Linked DNA regions of Xenopus tropicalis. The protein of the gene in region 1 interacts with the protein of each later gene in a pairwise test. Links are inferred from orthologs where the notes say so. Each region holds a gene or a part of one and is shown on either strand. Other genes may lie near its edges. The genes, in order: clk2, ythdc1 and ece1.

The links.
Region 2: the proteins of clk2 (region 1) and ythdc1 interact in binary tests that used the Homo sapiens proteins (3 or more experiments, as listed by UniProt). The two-hybrid records come from large-scale screens. The link is inferred for Xenopus tropicalis from reciprocal best matches to the Homo sapiens genes CLK2 and YTHDC1.
Region 3: the proteins of clk2 (region 1) and ece1 interact in binary tests that used the Homo sapiens proteins (3 or more experiments, as listed by UniProt). The two-hybrid records come from large-scale screens. The link is inferred for Xenopus tropicalis from reciprocal best matches to the Homo sapiens genes CLK2 and ECE1.

Annotation. Positions count from the first base shown.
Region 1 is NC_030684.2:146,287,348-146,294,521, reverse strand, and holds part of clk2 (dual specificity protein kinase CLK2), read left to right. Parts: intron 1-2,917; coding exon 2,918-3,011; intron 3,012-3,390; coding exon 3,391-3,457; intron 3,458-4,811; coding exon 4,812-4,928; intron 4,929-5,035; coding exon 5,036-5,202; intron 5,203-6,167; coding exon 6,168-6,262; intron 6,263-6,364; coding exon of another isoform or gene 6,365-6,367; coding exon 6,368-6,494; intron 6,495-6,573; coding exon 6,574-6,656; intron 6,657-6,804; coding exon 6,805-6,884; intron 6,885-7,003; coding exon 7,004-7,094; intron 7,095-7,168; coding exon 7,169-7,174. UniProt on the Homo sapiens protein: Dual specificity kinase acting on both serine/threonine and tyrosine-containing substrates. Phosphorylates serine- and arginine-rich (SR) proteins of the spliceosomal complex.
Region 2 is NC_030677.2:82,571,126-82,577,943, reverse strand, and holds the end of ythdc1 (YTH domain-containing protein 1), read left to right. Parts: intron 1-762; coding exon 763-799; intron 800-885; coding exon 886-925; intron 926-1,097; coding exon 1,098-1,160; intron 1,161-3,025; coding exon 3,026-3,160; intron 3,161-5,160; coding exon 5,161-5,376; 3' UTR 5,377-6,220; downstream 6,221-6,818. UniProt on the Homo sapiens protein: Regulator of alternative splicing that specifically recognizes and binds N6-methyladenosine (m6A)-containing RNAs.
Region 3 is NC_030683.2:132,700,318-132,708,441, forward strand, and holds the start of ece1 (endothelin-converting enzyme 1), read left to right. Parts: upstream 1-3,135; 5' UTR 3,136-3,208; intron 3,209-7,529; exon of another isoform or gene 7,530-7,606; coding exon of another isoform or gene 7,607-7,878; intron 7,879-8,124. Other genes in the region: alpl (alkaline phosphatase, tissue-nonspecific isozyme), read right to left, coding at 7,607-7,878. UniProt on the Homo sapiens protein: Converts big endothelin-1 to endothelin-1.

The DNA.
Region 1 (7,174 bases):
GTGCCTTGGGTATCGGGGATATACGCCCGGCTCTGTGCCTTGGGTCCAGGGGATATATGCCCCTCTCTGTGCCGTGGGTACCGGGGATATACGCCCGGCTCTGTGCCTTGGGTATCGGGGATATACGCCCGGCTCTGTGCCGTGGGTACCGGGGATATACGCCCGGCTCTGTGCCTTGGGTCCAGGGGATATATGCCCGGCTCTGTGCCGTGGGTACTGGGGATATATGCCCGGCTCTGTGCCGTGGGTACCGGGGATATACGCCCGGCTCTGTGCCGTGGGTACCGGGGATATATGCCCCTCTCTGTGCCGTGGGTACCGGGGATATACGCCCGGCTCTGTGCCTTGGGTATCGGGGATATACGCCCGGCTCTGTGCCGTGGGTATCGGGGATATACGCCCGGCTCTGTGCCTTGGGTCCAGGGGATATACGCCCGGCTCTGTGCCGTGGGTACTGGGGATATATGCCCGGCTCTGTGCCGTGGGTACCGGGGATATACGCCCGGCTCTGTGCCGTGGGTACCGGGGATATACGCCCGGCTCTGTGCCGTGGGTACCGGGGATATATGCCCGGCTCTGCGCCGTGGGTACCGGGGATATATGCCCGGCTCTGTACTGTGGATACTGGGGATATATGCCCGGCTCTGTACTGTGGATACTGGGGATATATGCCCGGCTCTGTACTGTGGATACTGGGGATATATGCCCGGCTCTGTACTGTGGGTACTGGGGAAATACGCCCGGCTCTGAAACAACATAGTAACATAGCAAGTTGGGTTGAAAAAAGACATACGTCCATCACGTTCAACCATAATGCCTATATATAACCTGCCTAACTGCTAGTTGATCCAGAGGAAGGCAAAACCCCATCTGGACCCTGTCTAACTCAATAATGTCCCGTTTGAGCACTGGAGACCAAAACTTAACAGCATATTCTAGATGGGGCCTTACCAGCGCTCTGTAAAGGGGAAGAATAACCCCCTCCTCCCGTGAATCTATACCCCTTTTAATACAGCTCAATACCCTGTTTGCCCTTGCAGCTGCTGCCTGGCATTGCTTGCTACAGCCAAGTTTATTATCTACAAGCACTCCAAGCTCCTTCTCCATTATGGATTTGCCCAGTGCAGTCCCATTAAGGGTATAAGTGGGGGCATATTTTTACATCCCAGGTGCATGACCTTACATTTATCCACATTAAATCTGCCACTTAGCTGCCCAGATTGCCAGTTGCCCAGACCCTGCTGCAAGGTGCCACATCGTGGGTAGAACTGACTGGGCTGCAGAGTTTTGTGCCATCTGCAAACACTGATACATTACCCATAATACCCTCCCCTAAGTCATTTATGAACAAATTAAACAAAAGTGGACCCAGTACAGAACCCTGAGGGACCCCACTGAGAACCTTATTCCAAGTAGAGAATGTACCATTAACAACCACCCTCTGTACCCGATCCTGTAGCCAGTTTTCTATCCATGTGCAAACGGCTTCACTAAGACCAATAGACCTTAGCTTAGAAAGCAGTCGTTTGTGGGGAACGGTATCAAATGCTTTGGCAAAATCCAAATAGATTATATCTACTGCCCCCCCCCCCCCTACTGTCCAAATACTGCCCCCCCACTGTCCGACTACTTCATCCCCAATGTCCAGCTTCTTACCTCATCATAAAAAGCAGATTGGTCTGACATGACCTGTCCTTCATAAAGCCATGCTGCTTCCTACCCATAATGCCATTCTCCAGTACATAATTCTGTATGTGATCCCTTAACAAGCCTTCAAATAACTTGCCCACCACGGATGTCAGACTTACTGGCCTATAATTGCCAGGCTGAGATCTTACTCCCTGTATAAATATAAGAATAACATTCGCCTTCCCCCAATGCATAGGTACCATACCTGATGAAAGCGAGTCTAATAGTTGCATGTATGGAGCAGGCTGACTCAGAGCCCGCTGGGGGCCAGCACCTCTAATACAGGGGGGCAGTAGTGCTGGGAAGGGAAGGCAGGCTATAGTTGTACGGGATTATTAGAAAGGTGGATAGGGGAATTTGGCACAAGGACCCTACGTGCTGAACTGTGTGTTGCCTGCCTGGTGCTAGGGTTCCGCATGTGGGGGAGCGAGTGGGCAAATTATTATGGGGGGCTGGGGAAGACCCGGCGGTTGGGAGGTCCTCAAAAACGATTTTATAAAACTAGGCGATACGTTACTGTGGATATATGCCCAGCTCTTTACCGTGGGTACCGGGGGATATGCGCCGGGCCCTGTACCGGGGGATATGCGCCGGGCCCTGTACCGGGGGAGGATGATGGGAATATGGGGCAGGACATGGGGCAATAATGCTATGAGTTCAGTGCTGAGTATGTGTATAGGAGCTGGGATGGGAGCATATATGGGTTTGAGCTTTGTGCTTGGGAGTGTAACGGGTTGGTTTGGGGGGTATGTGGGAATGTTGGGGGCCAGTGTGTATGATTAGCTCGGGGTGCGTGCTGGGTATATAATGATAGAATATATATTTGGTATGATTAGGGCCCCTCCCTCCCTCACTGTATGTAACCCCAGTAGCATGAAGACTGTAATACGTATATATTTGGGGGGGGGGGACCCCACAGTGTTGTTCCTGTTTTCCTCCCTTTGCATCGATGAAACAAAGCAGAATGTTTTTTCTTTTTTCTTTCCTTTTTTTATTTTTTTGATTTCTGAGTTAGTGTATTTGTATCTTGACCTGTTCCCTTGCAATATCCCTATCGTTATATATTCCTATGTGCCGTATGAATTGGCTGGGAATCTACTGCTCACCCTTCTACCTCAAAACAACCATGTGAATTTCCAAACCAACCCTACCAATGTGCCGCTGGTTTGAAAAATCTGATTGGCTGGCGAATGGTGATGCTTTGGCGGGGATGACGATGTGCTCACAGCGGAGTCGCCAGAGCAGCCGGCGGGCCAAGAGTGTTGAAGACGACGTGGAGGGCCACCTGATCTATCACAGCGGCGACTGGCTACAAGAACGATGTACAGCCAAATCGTAACATAATTTAGCTCTCTAGTTCTAAGACCCCCCCTTCCCCAGAGACGCTGCAGACCTGTCTGTCTTTTGTGTTTATTTTTTTATTTGGTTTTTTTTTTTTTGTTTTACATTTAATTTTAAAGAGAGAAACAAACGCAAAAGCCCTTTCCTCCTCCTTAACTCCTTTATTCTTTGTAAACCTACCACGTACAGTATGTTTATATGGCCAGGCAGCTAGTATATACTTCTCTATCTAGCTATAGGGCAGCGTGTCGGGGGCTCACAGCCTGACCTTGGCACGTGCGCCCGTAGGCAGATTCACTGGCACCGCCGGCAGTGTCCTGCTCCGTATTAATCCCGCCCCCTTTCTGCTTGCCCACGCAGATGAGATTGTGAGCACCCTCGGGGAAGGGACTTTCGGCCGAGTCGTTCAGTGCGTCGATCACAGGAGGTAAGTGCGTGTTTGTGTGTGGCGCCACCCGTCCCTTCGCCACGTGCTCCTGTCATGGCAGACGGTGTCTGAACATTTCATAGATATGGGGCCGAACAGCGGCCAGTAGGGACGTGCAGGTTGGCACGATACCCGCAGGTTAACCCACAGGTAGGGGGTGGGTTCAGGCCGATCTCAGCACATCAATCACGGGTCACTGACGGTGCTCTAATTTATAGGCGCAAGCCCTGCCCCTTTTGTGATGTCATTGCAGGGCGGGACTATAAATACAGGGAGGAAGCCAGTTAGGGGTGGGGGCAAGGATTTCTCGACCCGCAGGGCATAAATAAGTTGGGGGGAGTTACTTTGGGGCCACATATTGACTTGCACAATCCAGCTGTACTCTTAAAGGGGCGGTTCACCTTTAGTATGATATAGAATGGCCAATTCTAAGCAGCTTTTCAATTGGTCTTCATATTTTCTTTCTTCTAATTTTTGCTTTACTCTTCTGATTCTTTTCTGCTTTCAAATGGGGGAGGGTCGCTGACCCCATCTAAAAGTCACATGCTCTGCAAGGCTGCAAATTGTTATTGCAAGTTTTTATTACTCCTCTTTCTGTTCAGGCAGTCTCCTATTCATATTCCAGAGTCTTATTCAAATCAATGCCTGGTTGCTAGGGTAACTTGGACTCCAGCAACCAGATTGCAAAAACTGCAAACTGGAGAGCTCAATAACTCAAAAACTGCAAGACCAATTGCAAATTGTCTCAGAATATCACTCTACATCATATTAAGTTAATTTAAAGGTGAACATTCCCCTTTAAAGAGGTGTTTAACCGTTACACTGACTTTTAGTATGTTATAGAATGCCCTATTCCTAGCAACTTCTCAATTATTTATTTTTTATAGTTTTCAAATTATTTAGCTTCCTCGTCTACATTTCAAATGGGGGTCGCTGACCCCAAGAGCAAAAAACTATTGCTCTGTGAGCTTATAAATGTATTCATTTACTTGCACTATTCAGGCCCTCTTCTATTAATATTCCAGTCATTCGTTAAATCCACTGCTTGGTTGCTGGGGTAAGCAAGACCTTAGTGACAAGATAGCTACTGAAGTTCCAAACTGGAGCAAAAAGCTAAATAACAAACTACAAAACAAAAATTGAAAATCAGTTAGATAAATGTCTACATCATATTAAGAGTTAATTTAAAGGTGAACTACCCCTTTAAGAGCTGTGCATGTGGGGAGCAGAAGGGGGAACTGACCGCGTTGGGCACGTGAGAGCGTTCAGCTGTATTGTGCAGAGGCTGAGACACTGACCATAGAGCGCTTTTATATATTCTTACTGTATGTCTCTCCTCCTTGTGTGGCTTTAGGGGGGGAGCCAGAGTAGCATTAAAAATCATCAAAAATGTGGAGAAATACAAAGAGGCGGCTCGACTGGAGATCAACGTATTGGAAAAAATCAACGAAAAGGATCCGGAGAACAAACAGTAAGTCCCCGGGTGTGCGTCTGTCCCCCCTGGGCAGAACCCGTGTGAGTTGGGGGGTGGGGAGGCTTATCCAATTGAAACCCTGACGTACCCCGGTTCCTCCCCAGCCTGTGCGTGCAGATGTACGATTGGTTCGACTATCATGGACACATGTGCATCTCATTCGAGCTGCTCGGCCTCAGCACGTTCGACTTCCTGAAAGAGAATAACTACTTCCCGTACCCCATCCACCAAGTGCGGCATATGGCCCTGCAGGTGTGCCAGGCTGTGAAATGTAAGTGCCCCGCGGGGGGAAGATGGTATTATATTAGAGTGGCCCAGGCGGGTTGGCATTAGGGGCATGCTGGGCATACACGGGAGCAGGTTTGGGCACCAGGGGCAAGCTGGGCATACACGGGAGCAGGTTTGGGCACCAGGGGCAAGCTGGGCATACACGGGAGCAGGTTTGGGCACCAGGGGCAAGCTGGGCATACACGGGAGCAGGTTTGGGCACCAGGGGCAAGCTGGGCATACACGGGAGCAGGCTTTGGGCACCAGGGGCAAGCTGGGCATACACGGGAGCAGGTTTGGGCACCCGGGGCAAGCTGGGCATACACGGGAGCAGGCTGGGCACCCGGGGCAAGCTGGGCATACACGGGAGCAGGCTTGGGCACCGGGGCAAGCTGGCATACACGGGAGCAGGCTTGGGCACCCGGGGCAAAGCTGGGCATACACGGGAGCAGGCTTGGGCACCCGGGGAAGCTGGGCATACACGGAGCAGGCTTGGGCACCCGGGGCAAGCTGGGCATACACGGGAGCAGGGTTTGGGCACCCGGGGCAAGCTGGGCATACACGGGAGCAGGTTTGGGCACCCGGGGCAAGCTGGGCATACACGGGAGCAGGTTTGGGCACCCGGCGGCAAGCTGGGCATACACGGGAGCAGGTTTGGGCACCCGGGGCAAGCTGGGCATACACGGGAGCAGGTTTGGGCACCCGGGGCAAGCTGGGCATACACGGGAGCAGGTTTGGGCACCCGGGGCAAGCTGGGCATACACGGGAGCAGGTTTGGGCACCCGGGGCAAGCTGGGCATACACGGGAGCAGGTTTGGGCACCCGGGGCAAGCTGGGCATACACGGGAGCAGGTTTGGGCAAGCTGGGCATACACGGGAGCAGGTTTGGGCACCGGGGGCAAGCTGGGCATACACGGGAGCAGGTTTGGGCACCGGGAGACTGTTCCTCACTCGGATCTTCCCTTCCAGTTCTGCACGACAACAAACTGACCCATACAGACCTCAAGCCAGAAAATATCTTATTCGTCAGTTCTGACTATGAGCTTACGTACAACATGGAGAAGGTGAGTAGCCCCTCCCACCCTATCATTAGTACCCGCCCCGTATCGGGCTGCCGGCCGCTGTCTAACAACCCTTCCCTCTCCCCCCCCCGGAACTGCGCAAAGAAGCGCGACGAGCGGTGCGTCAAGAACACTGACATCAGGGTGGTGGACTTTGGCAGCGCCACGTTTGATCACGAGCATCACAGCACCATCGTCTCCACGCGGCACTACCGGGCGCCCGAGGTTATACTGGGTAAGGCTTCCAGCTGCCACCTACCTACCCCCCTGCATCTCATTGGCTGTGCTCTCTCTAACATGCTTGTCTCTTGCAGAGCTGGGCTGGAACCAACCGTGTGACGTGTGGAGCGTGGGGTGCATTATATTCGAGTACTACGTGGGCTTCACCCTCTTTCAGGTGAGTCACATAGACGTTCCCCGTTGTGGGGGGGGGGAGCAGTTAAGTTACTAGGAGCCCCCCATCAGACCTGATGCCTAATGTTGGGGGGCTTGTGTTGACTCCCCGTTCTTCTATGCGCCAAACCCCTGCTTCTGTTCCCCCGCAGACCCACGATAACCGAGAGCATTTAGCCATGATGGAGAGGATTCTGGGGCCCGTCCCATCGCGCATGGTTAGGAAAACCAGGTGAGCAAACTCTTCTTCCTCCTCCCAACCCCTCTCTCGTCTGTACTCAGGGGTGATTGTGCCCCAGGGAGGGGTATTTCTCTGCCTAAGCCCCCCCTATCGCTTCTCTGCCCCCACAGGAAGCAGAAGTATTTCTACCACGGGCGCCTAGACTGGGATGATAACACGTCCGCGGGCCGATACGTCCGAGAGAACTGCAAGCCCCTAAGGGTAAGCTCTGCCTGGCTGGGGGGGTCCCCCCTGTATGTGGGGGTACAAGGGGTAACGCTGTATCTATCTTACAGAGGTAC
Region 2 (6,818 bases), on another chromosome or scaffold:
GAGGTCTTTGTTTTTTTGACCACCGTAACATAAGTCTACTTAAAAAAATGTAAACATTAAATAAACCCAACTGGATTATTTTTTTTTTTTTTTTTTTGCTTCCATTGTGGATTAATTATCACTTAGCTGGAATCAAGTACTAGGTACTGACTTGTTAGAGATCATAAAAAAATGGTATGGTTAAATTGGACTGGGAGATGGCCTTCCCATAATGTTTTGTTTTTTGGATAGCGGGTTTCTGGATAACAGATGTCATACCTGTAACTGTAGTAATATCTCGGCAAATAGAATATTCAAGCATTCATAGTTCTGTTTTTTGCAAAAGGCTATAAACGTTGATATTGGATGTGCTGATTTCCTGTACATGTTTAGTTGCCATGGACGAAGATTTTTTTTTTTTTTTTTTTGCTTTTTCTGTTGCTTTAAGAGATTATTCAGATTTATATTATAGGATGTCCTTTAATGTACAGGTACTTTTCTTAATATATGCATACTACAACTACACAGCCATTTATATTTTAACTCGGTTTGTGTCTTCAAATTGTTGTAAACTAAATTTTTATTAGTTTTAGCTAAAATGGAAGTTTGTTCTTCTATGGCAGGCACATGCATATGATGTTAAATAGATAGTAAACAACAAATTCTGACTTCTTGAAAATTGATGCTTTGGTCCCACTAGGCCCAAGACCCAAGTGCATTTACTATATATATTCACATATATACAGTCATTTGTTCATTTTATTTTTTTTTTAATTTAAACAGGTTTTGTCAAGGATCCACGTTACCAAGAAGTAGACAGGTAAAATATTCTAATTCTTATGGTCTGTATTTGTTTGTAATTAAAGTATAGCAAGTTACTCATTTACTTTCCTTTTTTTTTTGCAGAAGATTCACTGGTGTTCGAAGAGATGTATTTTTAAATGGGGTATGTTAAGATAAATTACTACCTTCAAACATGTTTTTTGTCTTCCGTGGCTCTTAAACACCTTAACCTTCCTCCTGTACAAATTTCTATACAGGCCTGAACCCATTTTAATTGCAAATCTGTTAGGTAAATGTCACAATATTTGTTTTTTTGTTTTTTTTTCTTCTTTCAGTCTTACAATGATTATGTAAGGGAATTTCATAATATGGGCCCACCTCCACCATGGCAAGGAATGGTTGGTATATATTATATATATTTTTTGTGATTTTCATATTAGTCTTGTGAACATTGAAACCCATGTCATTAAAAAGCTTTTCCCAATTTTTTTTTAAGATATTTTGCTTGGTACCTTTTGGTGTTGTATTTCTCTGCACTTAGCTTCAGATTCTTCCCCTTAGCTGAAGAGTTGCTGACTCTTCTTGTGTCAGTGGACCTTGCCCAAACTAGTGAGGTCTCTGCATGCCTCTTCCTTTTTAGTTTCCATTGCATACTGTTAAGCTAATAGACTGAATTATGCCAGTTGGATCAATGACCTGCATGAATGGGGCCCTCTTCATTCAGTTCTGGACAGACTTCACTGACATACCTAGGGAGGAGTAGAAAAAGACATTTAAAGGAACAGTAACACCAAAAAATAAAGTTTTTTAAAGTAATTAAAATATAATGTACTGTTGCTCTGCACTGGTAAAAGTTGTGTGTTTGCTACAGTAACACTACTATAGTTTATATAAACAAGCTGCTGTGTAGCCCCGGGGGCAGCCATTCAAGCTGGAAAAAAGGAGAAACGGCACAGGTTACATAGCAGATAACAGATAAGTTCTGTAGAATACAATAGTGTTTTATCTGTTATCTCCTTTGTGCCTGTGCCTTTTCTCCTTTGAATGGCTGCCCCCATGGCTAAACAGCAGCTTTGTTTATATAAATTTCTGGGGCAAACACACCAGTTGTACCAGTGCAGGGCAGCAGTATATTTTATTCTTATTACTTTTATACACTTTCATTTTTTGGTGTTACTGTTCCTTTAAGGATCAGAGACAGCTTCAAATGTAGCAATATTGAGTTGCGGAAAGCTTGTTATTTACTGTCCTATTTGGTCAGTTGTCCAGATATGAGCATGAATTAAATTCCCATTTTTGACTGTGCCCATAACAAATGTGTGTAACCTGTGTAATGATACAAACAAATTCGTTATTTTGAACTTTGAAGTACAGATATGCATGCATGCAGTTATAGATCCACGTGTGCATTGCACACTTTACATGTTTTATAGTTTACTTGCTCACTATCTAAACTAAATGTTACTTTAGTGGCTTGGTATGCATATATTTTGGGATTGCGGGACTACTACAGCAGTGTCTTGTTAGCTCAAAGCAAGGTAATCTGAATTTACTGGCGAAAACTGTTCAGGTATGGCATGCATTTATTTCTATTTGTCCAGTATAGCATGTTGAAGAGCCACACACAATATTATGTTTTTATAAATTGCCAACATATTCTGCAGCGCTATACAATAAGTAATATACATGTTATAGAGTATTGTATCCTTTTATTTGCAGCCACAGAATGTGACACACAAGTAATGTTTTGGGAAATGGTGGCTGCAAACAATTTTCTGACTGTTTTGTCCAATCCATTATGCAGAGTGTGTTTGTGTGTATGTATGTATGTATGTATGTGAATGTATACAAAACCTGTAATATATCTGTGCAGTGGAAATCTAGTTTTCTGCCAAGAGCCAAACATGGGCTAGTATCCGTTTTCCTGTTTGTCCTGTTTAGGTTAAGAAATAACAGGCAAAGATATGCTCAGCACAAGCCCTATTCATTGCATTCATGTTCAACAATGAATTTTGCCCCGTTGAGTATGAGAAAATGTGGTCCTGTTACAAAACATTGCTGCATTACTTCATTTGTGTATTTTTTGCAAGACTAGCAAAGCTAATTTACCAAGGGCTAATTTCATCAGGTCTCATCTTTTACAACAGAATAGCGAACTGGCCCACAAATAATAATCGCCAATATACATTTTTCTATTTCTTTATCTTTATCATTATCTGATTTTCAAAAAAAACTTTTTTTTTTTTTTCTTTTTTGTTTAAAGCCACCGTATCCGGCAATGGAGCAGGCTCCTCATCATCCATACTATCAACATCATGCACCGCCACCTCAAGCACACCCACAGTTCTCAGGTCATCATCCGGTTCAACATGATGCAAGATATCGGGATAAACGGGTTGTAAGTTCAGTTATAATTTTTTTTTTTTTTAATGTTGCATTTGTTTTCAGTGTTTGATATAAATATGGTAGAGGCTAGCTGCTGGTGAGATTTTAAACAACTTTTAGCCATTTTAGGAATAAAAGGAACAGTTCAGTGTAAAAATAAAACTGGGTAAATAGGCTATGCAAAATACAAAATATTTCTAATAGAGTAAGCCAAAAATGTCATCTATAAAGGCTGGAGTGAGTGGGTGTCTAAAAGCCAGAACACTACTTCCTCTTTTTTGCTTTCTAACATCTGTTAGTCAGCAACAAAATGGGCAGGTAGTAAGTAAGAGCAATAGGCTTTTGTTTTTGAGAAGCCTTGGCATAATCAATCCCAAAGTTGATAGCCCTGTAGAGCTCAAACTCTAAATACTAATAGCAACGATTAAATTATACTTCTAGGTTTCTAAGAACACTAGTTCTTTTGTTATATTTGGTTGGAACAAAAGTTCTATACCAGTTACAGATTAGCAGTCATTTACAACGATCAGAGAGTGTGCAAAGTGCACTCCGCACTTCATTCTGATATTGTAGAATTGCTGCAAGTGCCCACACTGTTTTGGAGAGCAAAGACCCTTCAACTCTACCTTAGAATTGTAAAATTAAAAATTAAAATTGTTGCTGTGGCCAAATTTGGTCTGGCAGTTCTGACCTTACTGTCTGACTGTGTAGGCATGTAAAGTTGATTGCAATAATTTGGGTACTCCTTGCCAAATGAAATATTTAAATTTTTATAATTGAAGATCAGTAAACAACGACTGCAGGAATCTTGTGTTAACCAACATAGTTGCAAATGATAATGCACATTTTTAAATTTCACAAACATCAAAACATATGGCATGTGTACAGGTTTGGATTTTACTTTTTGCAAGGTGTCTGACACTAATTAGTTTAATTGGGCATAAAGGGGGTTGTAAACCCAACCGTAACACACTCCCTCATTTTAAGTGCAAGAGAACTGACCAATGAGTGCTGATTCTCAGCACTATAGTAGTCATCTTGTTGTTTTCCATATAGATAATTGTAATTTTTTTCCTTCATTAAATGACACTTGAATCAGACATGGTAATAGGACTGGTTTGTTCAGTGCTGGAAAACTGCATAATGCTTCCAACTCCAATTGCAGGAAGAAAGAACAGGGAGTCAAATTTACACAGATCAGATTTTCATTTAAGGATTTTTTGCATTTTAAAACAGTGGCTGGCTGTTTCTAAAATGATTTAGGAAAAGTTTGATTGTGCAATATTACTTTAAGAATACATCCTTGATATTGTTGGACTACGGCCCCCAGCAGGCCTCAGCCTTCATTATATGGTACATTATTCTGGGATTTGTAGTCAAGCAACAACTTAGTAAAGTTTGGCTGTGACCCGTTGACCAAATCCCTTGACAATGTAAACTTTTGGGGGCTTTCAGTCAACTATGCAACAACTAAAGAAAAAAAAAATGATACACTTGCAGTTCATAAAGTCCATTGTCAGCAGTGTCATTAAGAAATGGCAGGGCAAAACCTACTTGCATGCTGGCCACCATGAGCTACTTGAAGAAAAACAAGTTTAAGATTTTGAATGATCCTCATAGTCCCCTAATTGATTTACCCAAACTTCTGGATTCATTTGTATGCCAGATTGGGTCTGGGTTTCAACAAACCATTCTATGATCCTATTGGATTGCAGATGTTGTGTCCTGTTTTATATTTTAAATTTGCCGATGCATTGTGTTTGCATGGTGCTTTAGCAATTGAGGAAGTGAAGAGAAGCTGAATTTCTTGGATTTTCAGACAGCATATGTCCAAATTAAATTTGCATGATACGTGGTAAGAACTAGGAGAGGCACGTGCAATTTGTGAGGAGGAGTCCTGCTGCATTATAAATGGATTGAATAGCATAAGCTCCATTTCCTAATGTGCTTTTTTAGTATTGTATACTGCTTGTCTGTGTTGATCTAACTTCTTTATTTTTGTAATTCTAAAAGCATGATTATGATATGAGAGTGGATGATTTCCTTCGGCGAACGCAAGCTGTGGTGAGCGGAAGAAGAAGCCGACCTAGAGAGCGTGAAAGAGAGCGGGAACGTCCCAGAGACAACCGTCGAGACAGGGGCCGTGATCGTGATAGAGATCGTGAGAGAGAGAGGATGCGTGATAGGGAAAGGGGGGACAGAGGAGATAGGGGCAGATACAGGAGATAAATTCCTTGGCCAACACTGGTTATGTCCTCTCTGAAATTTACCTTCATATTTTCTCCTTACGCGTGTTTACAAAATAGTGACATTTCTGTTCAGTTTGTCGAATGCTTAAGCAAAAGAGAATACTGCTCATTTTATATCATTTGAACCTCTGTTGCGCACGTGTGTATGAAATGGAGATTTATTAAAATGGCCAAAAAAAGATGCAAATTAAAAAGCCTATACTAGTGCAAAGAAATAAACTTGTCTTTGGTTAATTGTTCATCTTAGCGGTATTTCATACCAGCGTTTTTGTTTGTTACTCCATGGGCCGTATTGCATATACCCTGTTTTCAAAGGCCACTGATGAAGTGGTTTGTTAACTGCCTTCACAGATTTCCCTGTTCCTTTTGTAGTTAGTGAGGATTCTGTGAATATAATGCTGCTATGAAGTATGCAAATTCTGAAGTTATGGGCTGATGAACATATTGTAGACACCCTTCTGCCCTTTTATCCTTGTACTATTTGGCAATGATGAAAGCAATACTGGAAAGCCTGTTGCCTACATTTTTTTTAAACACTTGCATCTAAATTTGTACCTCTTCACTTTTTCTCAGTTGCAGACTTGTGGAGAATGCAAGCAACCTATGTGCTAGAAAAAATATTTTGACCATGTTTTCTCCTGCTATCATTTTGTACCTGGCTGATAACAATGTAATTTAATTTGTTACTGCAGTGGTTTTTTTAAGCCATATGCTAGCAGTTACGATATTTCCTCTGCTACAAATGCACCTCTTATTTTGTGTAGTCTTGTACCATTATGCGTTATTTTGTGCAGTTTTATAATAAAAGCCACTGTGATTATTAATGCATAGTGTTTTTCTGACTCCATGTAAGAACTTTACCTGCTAATGGAAATTGTGCAGTCTGAAACTGTAAGCAATTAGGGCTGAAATAAAAGGTTTACCTTTTTAAGATGTCAAAAGCTAGAAACAGCTTAAATTCCTTGTACCAGCTTTCAAGTAGTGAACAGGAAAGAATCACTACTTCTCTTAAATCCCCTTTTACTAGGAAATATTCAATTTGTTCAGTCCCCCTTCCCAGCTAATAAAGTTTAACAGTTGCATGAAAACCATGCTATAACAGTTGTAGTTTCAAGACCTTCTAGGGCAGCAAAGCGGTTATTACCTAAGATCTCCTCCTAGATGTACTTTCAGGGTTATCTTGAAGAGCTAATAAGTATTCAACCCAAATCTTTTTTACAACAGACTTTCCTGGCCTTACAAGGCTAAAGGTATTGGATTATGTAAAAATGCAATTTTCTAGGCAGCAACCCCTCTAATTGGATTTTATAGAGGTCCCTATAAATTTTCAAGTGATCACAGTAAGCTTACTTTAAGTTTTGGAAACCACTGCTTTAGAATTTATTTTACAGATGTTAAAATGAATACAGCAGCACCCCACCC
Region 3 (8,124 bases), on another chromosome or scaffold:
GGCCGGTATCTGGGGAATATTATAGCTGCTCCCAGGTTAAAGGTGGGTCGGGGTATCGGCCGGTATCATGGGAATATTATAGCTGCTCCCAGTTAAAGGGGTGGGTCGGGGTATCGGCCAGTATCGTGGGAATATTATAGCTGTTCCCAGTTAAAGGGGTGGTCGGGGTATCGGGCCGTATCATGTGAATATTATAGCTGCTCCCAGTTAAAGGGGTGGGTCGGGGTATCGGCGGTATCATGGGGAATATTATAGCTGCTCCCAGTTAAAGGGGTGGGTCGGGGTATCGGCCGGTATCATGGGAATATTATAGCTGTTCCCAGTTAAAGGGGTGGGTTGGGGTATCGGCCGGTATCATGTGAATATTATAGCTGCTCCCAGTTAAAGGGGTGGGTCGGGGTATCGCCCGGTATCGTGGGAATATTATAGCTGCTCCCAGTTTGAAAGGGGTGGGTAGGGGTATCGGCCGGTATCGTGGGAATATTATAGCTGCTCCCAGTTAAAGGGGTGGGTCGGGGTATCGGCCGGTATATGGGAATTATTATAGCTGCTCCCAGTTAAAGGGGTGGGTCGGGGTATCGGCCGGTATCATGGGAATATTATAGCTGCTCCCAGTTAAAGGGGTGGGTCGGGGTATCGGCCGGTATCGTGGGAATATTATAGCTGCTCCCAGTTAAAGGGGTGGGTCGGGGTATCGGCCGGTATCATGGGAATATTATAGCTGCTCCCAGTTAAAGGGGTGGGTAGGGGTATCGGCCCCGTATCATGGGAATATTATAGCTGCTCCCAGTTAAAGGGGTGGGTCGGGGTATCGGCCGGTATCATGGAATATTATAGCTGCTCCCAGTTAAAGGGGTGGGTCGGGGTATCGGCCGGTATCGTGGGAATATTATAGCTGCTCCCAGTTAAAGGGGTGGGTCGGGGTATCGGCCGGTTATCATGTGAATATTATAGCTGCTCCCAGTTAAAGGGGTGGGTCGGGTATGGCGGTATCGTGGCGGAAGTATTATAGCTGCTCCCAGTAAAGGGGTGGGTCGGGGTATCGGCCGGTATCATGTGAATATTATAGCTGCCTCCAGTTAAAGGGGTGGGTCGGGGTATCGCCCGGTATCATGGGAATATTATAGCTGCTCCCAGTTAAAGGGGTGGGTCGGGGGTATCGGCCGGTATCATGGGAATATTATAGCTGCTCCCAGTTAAAGGGGTGGGTCGGGTATCGGCCGGTATCATGGGAATATTATAGCTGCTCCCAGTTAAAGGGGTGGGTCGGGGTATCGGCCGGTATCGTGGGAATATTATAGCTGCTCCCAGTTAAAGGGGTGGGTCGGGGTATCGGCCGGTATCGTGGGAATATTATAGCTGCTCCCAGTTAAAGGGGTGGGTCGGGGTATCGGCCTGGTATCGTGGGAATATTATAGCTGCTCCAGTTAAAGGGGTGGGTCGGGGTATCGGCCGGTATCCTGTGAATATTATAGCTGCTCCCAGTTAAAGGGGTGGGTCGGGGTATCGGCCGGTATCATGGGAATATTATAGCTGCTCCCAGTTAAAGGGGTGGGTCGGGGTATCGGCCGGTATCGTGGGAATATTATAGCTGCTCCCAGTTAAAGGGGTGGGTCGGGGTATCGGCCGGTATCGTGGAATATTATAGCTGCTCCCAGTTAAAGGGGTGGGTCGGGATATCGGCCCGGTATCCTGGGAATATTATAGCTGCTCCCAGTTAAAGGGGTGGGTCGGGGTATCGGCCGGTATGGGAATATTATAGCTGCTCCAGTTAAAGGGGTGGGTCGGGGTATCGGCCGGTATCATGGGAATATTATAGCTGCTCCCAGTTAAAGGGGTGGGTCGGGGTATCGGCCGGTATCGTGGGAATATTATAGCTGCTCCCAGTTAAAGGGGTGGGTCGGGGTATCGGCGGTATCGTGGGAATATTATAGCTGCTCCCAGTTAAAGGGTGGGTCGGGGTATCGGCCGGTATCGTGGGAATATTATAGCTGCTCCCAGTTAAAGGGGTGGGTCGGGGTATCGGCCGGTATCGTGGGAATATTATAGCTGCTCCCAGTTAAAGGGGTGGGTCGGGGTATCGGCCGGTATCGTGGGAATATTATAGCTGCTCCCAGTTAAAGGGGTGGGTGGGGTATCGGCCGGTATCGTGGGAATATTATAGCTGCTCCCAGTTAAAGGGGATTGGGTCGGGGTATCGGCCGGTATCATGGAGATATTATAGCTGCTCCCGTTAAAGGGGTGGGTCGGGTATCGGCCGGTATCATGGGAATATTATAGCTGCTCCCAGTTAAAGGGGTGGGTCGGGGTATCGGCCGGTATCGTGGGAATATTATAGCTGTTCCCAGTTAAAGGGGTGGGTCGGGGTATCGGCCGGTATCGTGGGAATATTATAGCTGTTCCCAGTTAAAGGGGTGGGTCGGGGTATCGGCCGGTATCATGGGAATAATATAGCTGCTCCCAGTAAAGGGTGGGTCGGGGTATCGGCCGGTATCATGGGAATATTATAGCTGTTCCACAGTTAAAGGGGTGGGTCGGGGTATCGGCCGGTATCGTGGGAATATTATAGCTGCTCCCAGTTAAACGGGGTGGTCGGGGTATCGGCCGGTATCATGGGAATATTATAGCTGCTCCCAGTTAAAGGGGTGGGTCGGGGTATCGGCCGGTATCATGGGAATATTATAGCTGCTCCCAGTTAAAGGGGTGGGTCGGTGGTATCGGCCGGTAACGTGGGAATATTATAGCTGCTCCCAGTTAAGGGGTGGGTCGGGGTATCGGCCGGTATCATGGGAATATTATAGCTGCTCCCAGTTAAAGGGGTGGGTCGGGGTATCGGCCGGTATCATGGGAATATTATAGCTGCTCCCAGTTAAAGGGGTGGGTCGGGGTATCGGCCGGTATCATGGGAATATTATAGCTGCTCCCAGTTAAAGGGGTGGGTCGGGGTATCGGCCGGTATCATGGGAATATTATAGCTGCTCCCAGTTAAAGGGGTGGGTCGGGGTATCGGCCGGTATCATGGGAATAATATAGCTGCTCCCAGTTAAAGGGGTGGGTCAGACTCTGGGAAGGAATGAGTTAATGAGGCTGATTGCTGATTGGCCGGCTAACCCATATAAAGAGGGGAGGGGGAGGGGCGGGTTGCTCACAGAGGGAGGCTGGGTTTGGGGGTACCTGTGCAGCTGCTGAGCCCCTCACTTCTCTCCAGGTGAGTTTAACTCTTTCCTCCCCAGTGTCTCCTGGCAGCCTCCCCTGATAGGCAGAGACACAGGTATCCATGGAGATATGGGCCCCCCCTGCCCCCAGTACAGGGAACATTACTGTGCATAGGCCCAAATATATACTGATAATGAGGCTCCTCCCATTTATGGGGCAAAGTGTTAATTAAGCCCATTCCTATGAGGAGACTGGGGGGGCAGTATAGGGAGACTGGGGGGGCGATGCGGCTATAGGGAGACTGGGGGGCGGTATAGGGAGACTGGGGGGGCAGTATAGGAGACTGGGGGGGCGGTATAGGGAGACTGGGGGGCAGTATAGGGAGACTGGGGGGGGCAGTATAGGGAGACTGGGGGGGGCAGTATAGGGAGACTGGGGGGGCAGTATAGGGAGACTGGGGAGGGCAGTATAGGGAGACTGGGGGGGCAGTATAGGGAGACTGGGGGGGCAGTATAGGGAGACTGGGGGGGCAGTATAGGGAGACTGGGTGGGGGCAGTATAGGGAGACTGGGGGGGCAGTATAGGGAGACTGGGGGGGCAGTATAGGGAGACTGGGGGGGGCAGTATAGGAGACTGGGGGGGCAGTATAGGGAGATGGGGGGGCAGTATAGGGAGACTGGAGGGGGCAGTATAGGGAGACTGGGGGGGCAGTATAGGGAGACTGGGGGGGGCAGTATAGGGAGACTGGGGGGGGCAGTATAGGGAGACTGGGGGGGCAGTATTGGGAGACTGGGGGGGCAGTATAGGGAGACTGGGGGCAGTATAGGGAGACTGGGGGAGGCAGTATAGGGAGACTGGTGGGGGCAGTATAGGGACACGGGGGGGATAGGGAGACTGGGGGGGCAGTATAGGGAGACTGGGGGGGCAGTATAGGGACACGAGGGGGCAGTATAGGGAGACTGGGGGGGCAGTATTGGGAGACTGGGGGGGCAGTATAGGGAGACTGGGGGGCAGTATAGGGAGACTGGGGGGGCAGTATAGGGACACGGGCGGGGCAGTATAGGGAGACTGGGGGGCAGTATAGGGAGACTGGGGGCAGTATAGGGAGACTGGGGGCAGTATAGGGAGACTGGGGGGCAGTATAGGGACACGGGGGGGCAGTATAGGGAGACTGGGGGGGAGTTATAGGGACACGGGGGCAGTATAGGGAGACTGGGGGGGCAGTATAGGGACACGGGGGCAGTATAGGGAGACTGGGGGGCCAGTATAGGGAGACTGGGGGGCAGTATAGGGACACGGGGGGGCAGTAGGGAGACTGGGGGGGGCAGTATAGGGACACGGGGCAGTATAGGGAGACTGGGGGGGCAGTATAGGGACACGGGGGGGCAGTATAGGGACACGGTGGGGCAGTATAGGGAGATGGGGGCAGTTAGGGAGACTGGGGGGGCAGTATAGGGACACGGGGGGCAGTATTGGGAGACTGGGGGGGCAGTATAGGGAGATGGGGGCAGTATAGGGACCGGGGGGGCAGTATAGGGAGACTGGGGGGGCAGTATAGGGACACGGGGGGCAGTATTGGGAGACTGGGGGGGCAGTATAGGGACACGGGGGGGCAGTATTGGGAGACTGCGGGGCAGTATAGGGACACGGGGGGCAGTATAGGGAGATTGGGGCGGCAGTATTTGGAGACTGGGGGGGCAGTATAGGGAGGGGGGGGCAGTATAGGGACACGGGGGGGCAGTATAGGGAGACTGGAGGGGGCAGTATTGGGAGACGATGGGGGGCAGTATAGGGACACGGGGGGGCAGTATAGGATGTAGGGCAGTATAGGGACACGGGGGGCAGTATAGGGAGACTGGGGGGCAGTATAGGGACCACGGGGGCAGTATAGGGAGACTGGGGGGCAGTATTGGGAGACTGGGGGGGCAGTATAGGGACACGGGGGGGCAGTATAGGGAGACTGGGGGGGCAAGTATAGGGACACGGGGGGGCAGTATAGGGAGACTTGGGGCAGTATAGGGACACGGGGGGGCAGTATAGGGAGATGGGGGGGCAGTATTGGGAGACTGGGGGGCAGTATAGGGAGACTGGGGGGCGTATTGGGGACTGGGGGGCAGTATAGGGAGACTGGGGGGCAGTATTGGGAGACTGGGGGGGCAGTATAGGGAGACTGGCGGGGGCAGTATAGGGACACGGCGGGGCATATAGGGAGACTGGGGGGGCAGTATAGGGACACGGGGGGGCACGGAGCTGGCAGGGGCGGGGCACGGAGCTGGCAGGGGCGGGGCACGGAGCTGGCAGGGGCGGGGCACGGAGCTGGCAGGGGCGGGACACGGAGCTGGCAGGGGCGGGGCACAGAGCTGGCAAGGGGCGGGGCACATAAATACAGACCTGTGGGTTTTACATTATAAATAAGTTGTTTTCTCTTTAAACTGAGATTTTATTTAAAGGGGAACTTGTCCCTCCCCGAGTCCCGGCCAATCCGCTTCCCAACATTCCTATTGGCCCAGTAATCCCTGCGGGTTCCTATAAATGCTGAGAGGGCCCCGGCACCTCCCACAGACTTACCCCGGTGCCCTGGCACTGCCCCACCTGTTAATATTATACCCCCCCCCCCCCAGCCAGCCAATCCTGGCTCCCCCACAGTTTGCTCAGGGAGTTCCTATTGGTTAGTAAGTTATTTATGGGCAAATAGGGCTCCTCCTCTGTTCCATGGGCCCATTCATGCGCTGCTGCTGGGGTTGCTGGGAGTTGTAGTTTGACAGCAGCAGTCACCAGATCTTCTCGTTACACTGCTGGGAACCAACCGGCACAATCCACTCCGGGGCACGTAACATGGGGCAGTCTCTGCTGGGGGGGGGGGGGTATCTGGGCTGAGGGCCCGGGGAATCTCGTAGAGAAACAAATTTACATTACATGCATTTAAAGGGGAAGTTAACCTTTTATTGTGATTATATTGTGTCATTATCAGTCTGTGGTTTGTCTTTAACTCAGAATATTACCTGGTTGCTAGGGCCGCTGCCTGTGGAAACCAGAAAGCCTTTGGTGAGGCCAGGCCCCCTCCTAGTCTTCAGGGTAGGGGCTTTTATACAGAGCCCCAGCAGTAGGTGGCACAGGGGCCTCACTTGTCCCAAGAGCTTGCAGTCTAGAAATCCAATAAAAGGTGTCGCCCTGTAGTTTTCTGTCTTTATATCTAAGACTCTGAGTCCTCAGGAGAGAGAGGGGGTATTTACTCTGGGCCTTTATCAATATACCCCTGGGGGGGCAAATATAGATAAGTGGGAGGGACCTGCATTGGGAGAGATGATGCATCAGAGCGGATCCTGATTGGATACGGACCGGTTTATTTCGCTGACATCACAGAGAGATTAAAGCGAACACTGATTGGCTGCTCTGTCCCTCTCCGTCTGGCCAATGATTTTCATGAATTGGATCTGCCCCGCCCCCTGTTTCCCTGGAGGCTTTTCATCCTACTAAATTGCTGCTCCAGTCTGGGCCTTAGGGGCAGGGGTAAGCTTGGGGCACAGAGACCCTGGGGCACCCCATGTGTGGGGTGAGGGGGGGCAAGGGTGCCAGAGGGATGGGGGGCAGGGGTGATGGAGGGGTAAATAGGGGCAGGGGTGATGGAGGGGTGAATAGGGGCAGAGGATGGAGGGGGGCAGGGGTGATGGAGGGGTGAGGGAGGGGTGAGGGGCAGGGGTGATGGAGGGGTGAATAGGGGCAGGGGTGATGGAGGGGTGAATAGGGGCAGGGGTGAGGGGGGCAGGGGTGATGGAGGGGTGAGGAGGGGTGAAGGGGGGCAGGGGTGATGGAGGGGTGAATAGGGGCAGGGGGTGAATAGGGGAGGGGTGAAGGGGCATGGAGGGGATAGGGCAGGGTGATAGGGGCAGGGGTGATGGAGGGGGATATAGGGGCAGGGGTGAGGGGGAGGGGGGTGATGGAGGGGTGAATAGGGGCAGGGGTGAATAGGGGCAGGGGTGATGGAGGGGGGAATAGGGGCAGGGGTGAATAGGGGCAGGGGTGGAGGGGGGATGGAGGGTGAATAGGGGCAGGGGTGAGGGGGGAGGGGGCAGGGGTGATGGAGGGTGAATAGGGGCAGGGGTGAGGGGGCAGGGGGGCAGGGGTGATGGAGGGGTGAATAGGGGCAGGGGTGATGGAGGGGTGAGGGGGGCAGGGGTGATGGAGGGGTGAATAGGGGCAGGGGTGATGGAGGGGTGGGAGGGGTGAATAGGGGCAGGGGTGAGGGGGGCAGGGGTGATGGGGGGTGATGGAGGGGTGAGGGAGGGCAGGGGTGATGGAGGGGTGAATAGGGGAGGGGGTGAGGGGGGGCAGGGCTGATGGAGGGGTGCCCCCCATCAGTGTAACCTCCTCGGTTCTAGGATGAGTCCATTCTCCGTCAGGGCCGGGGCAGTAAAGCAGAGGTAGTTCATTTACACTGGGTTCTGCCCCATTAGTAGAAGAGCTGGAGGGAGAGGAGGGGCAGTAGGGCCGACACCAGCGTTAGGGAGGTTCTGGCGCCGTAACTCTCTTTGCCAGACGTGCAGTGGTCCTGGTTCTGCCCAATACAGGCCGCGTAGGCCATGACGTGGGGGATATAGTTCTGTTCATGGACCCCGTGCAGGAGGTGCGCCATTGGGCCCTTGGCAAACACCGCCACGTCCTCCCCACCGTGGGTTTCCATACGGAGCGGCACCGCCGACTGGGCCAGGTAGTTGGGGTGGGCTGCAAATGGGAGAACAACTGGGTCAATGGGGGGTCCGACAGCGTTATACAGTCATGTAAAGGGCAAATATAGTGATTATTTCCTCTATAAATGTATCGGCCTCCCTGCTACATTGTGTCAGGAGTCAGTACAGCCAGTGAGAATGGATATTGGGGGGTCGTTATTCTGATAATGGGGGGTTCCGACAGCGTTATACAGGGAGTAGGGGTGCTGGGAGTAGGGATGCTGGGAGTAGGGGTGCTGGG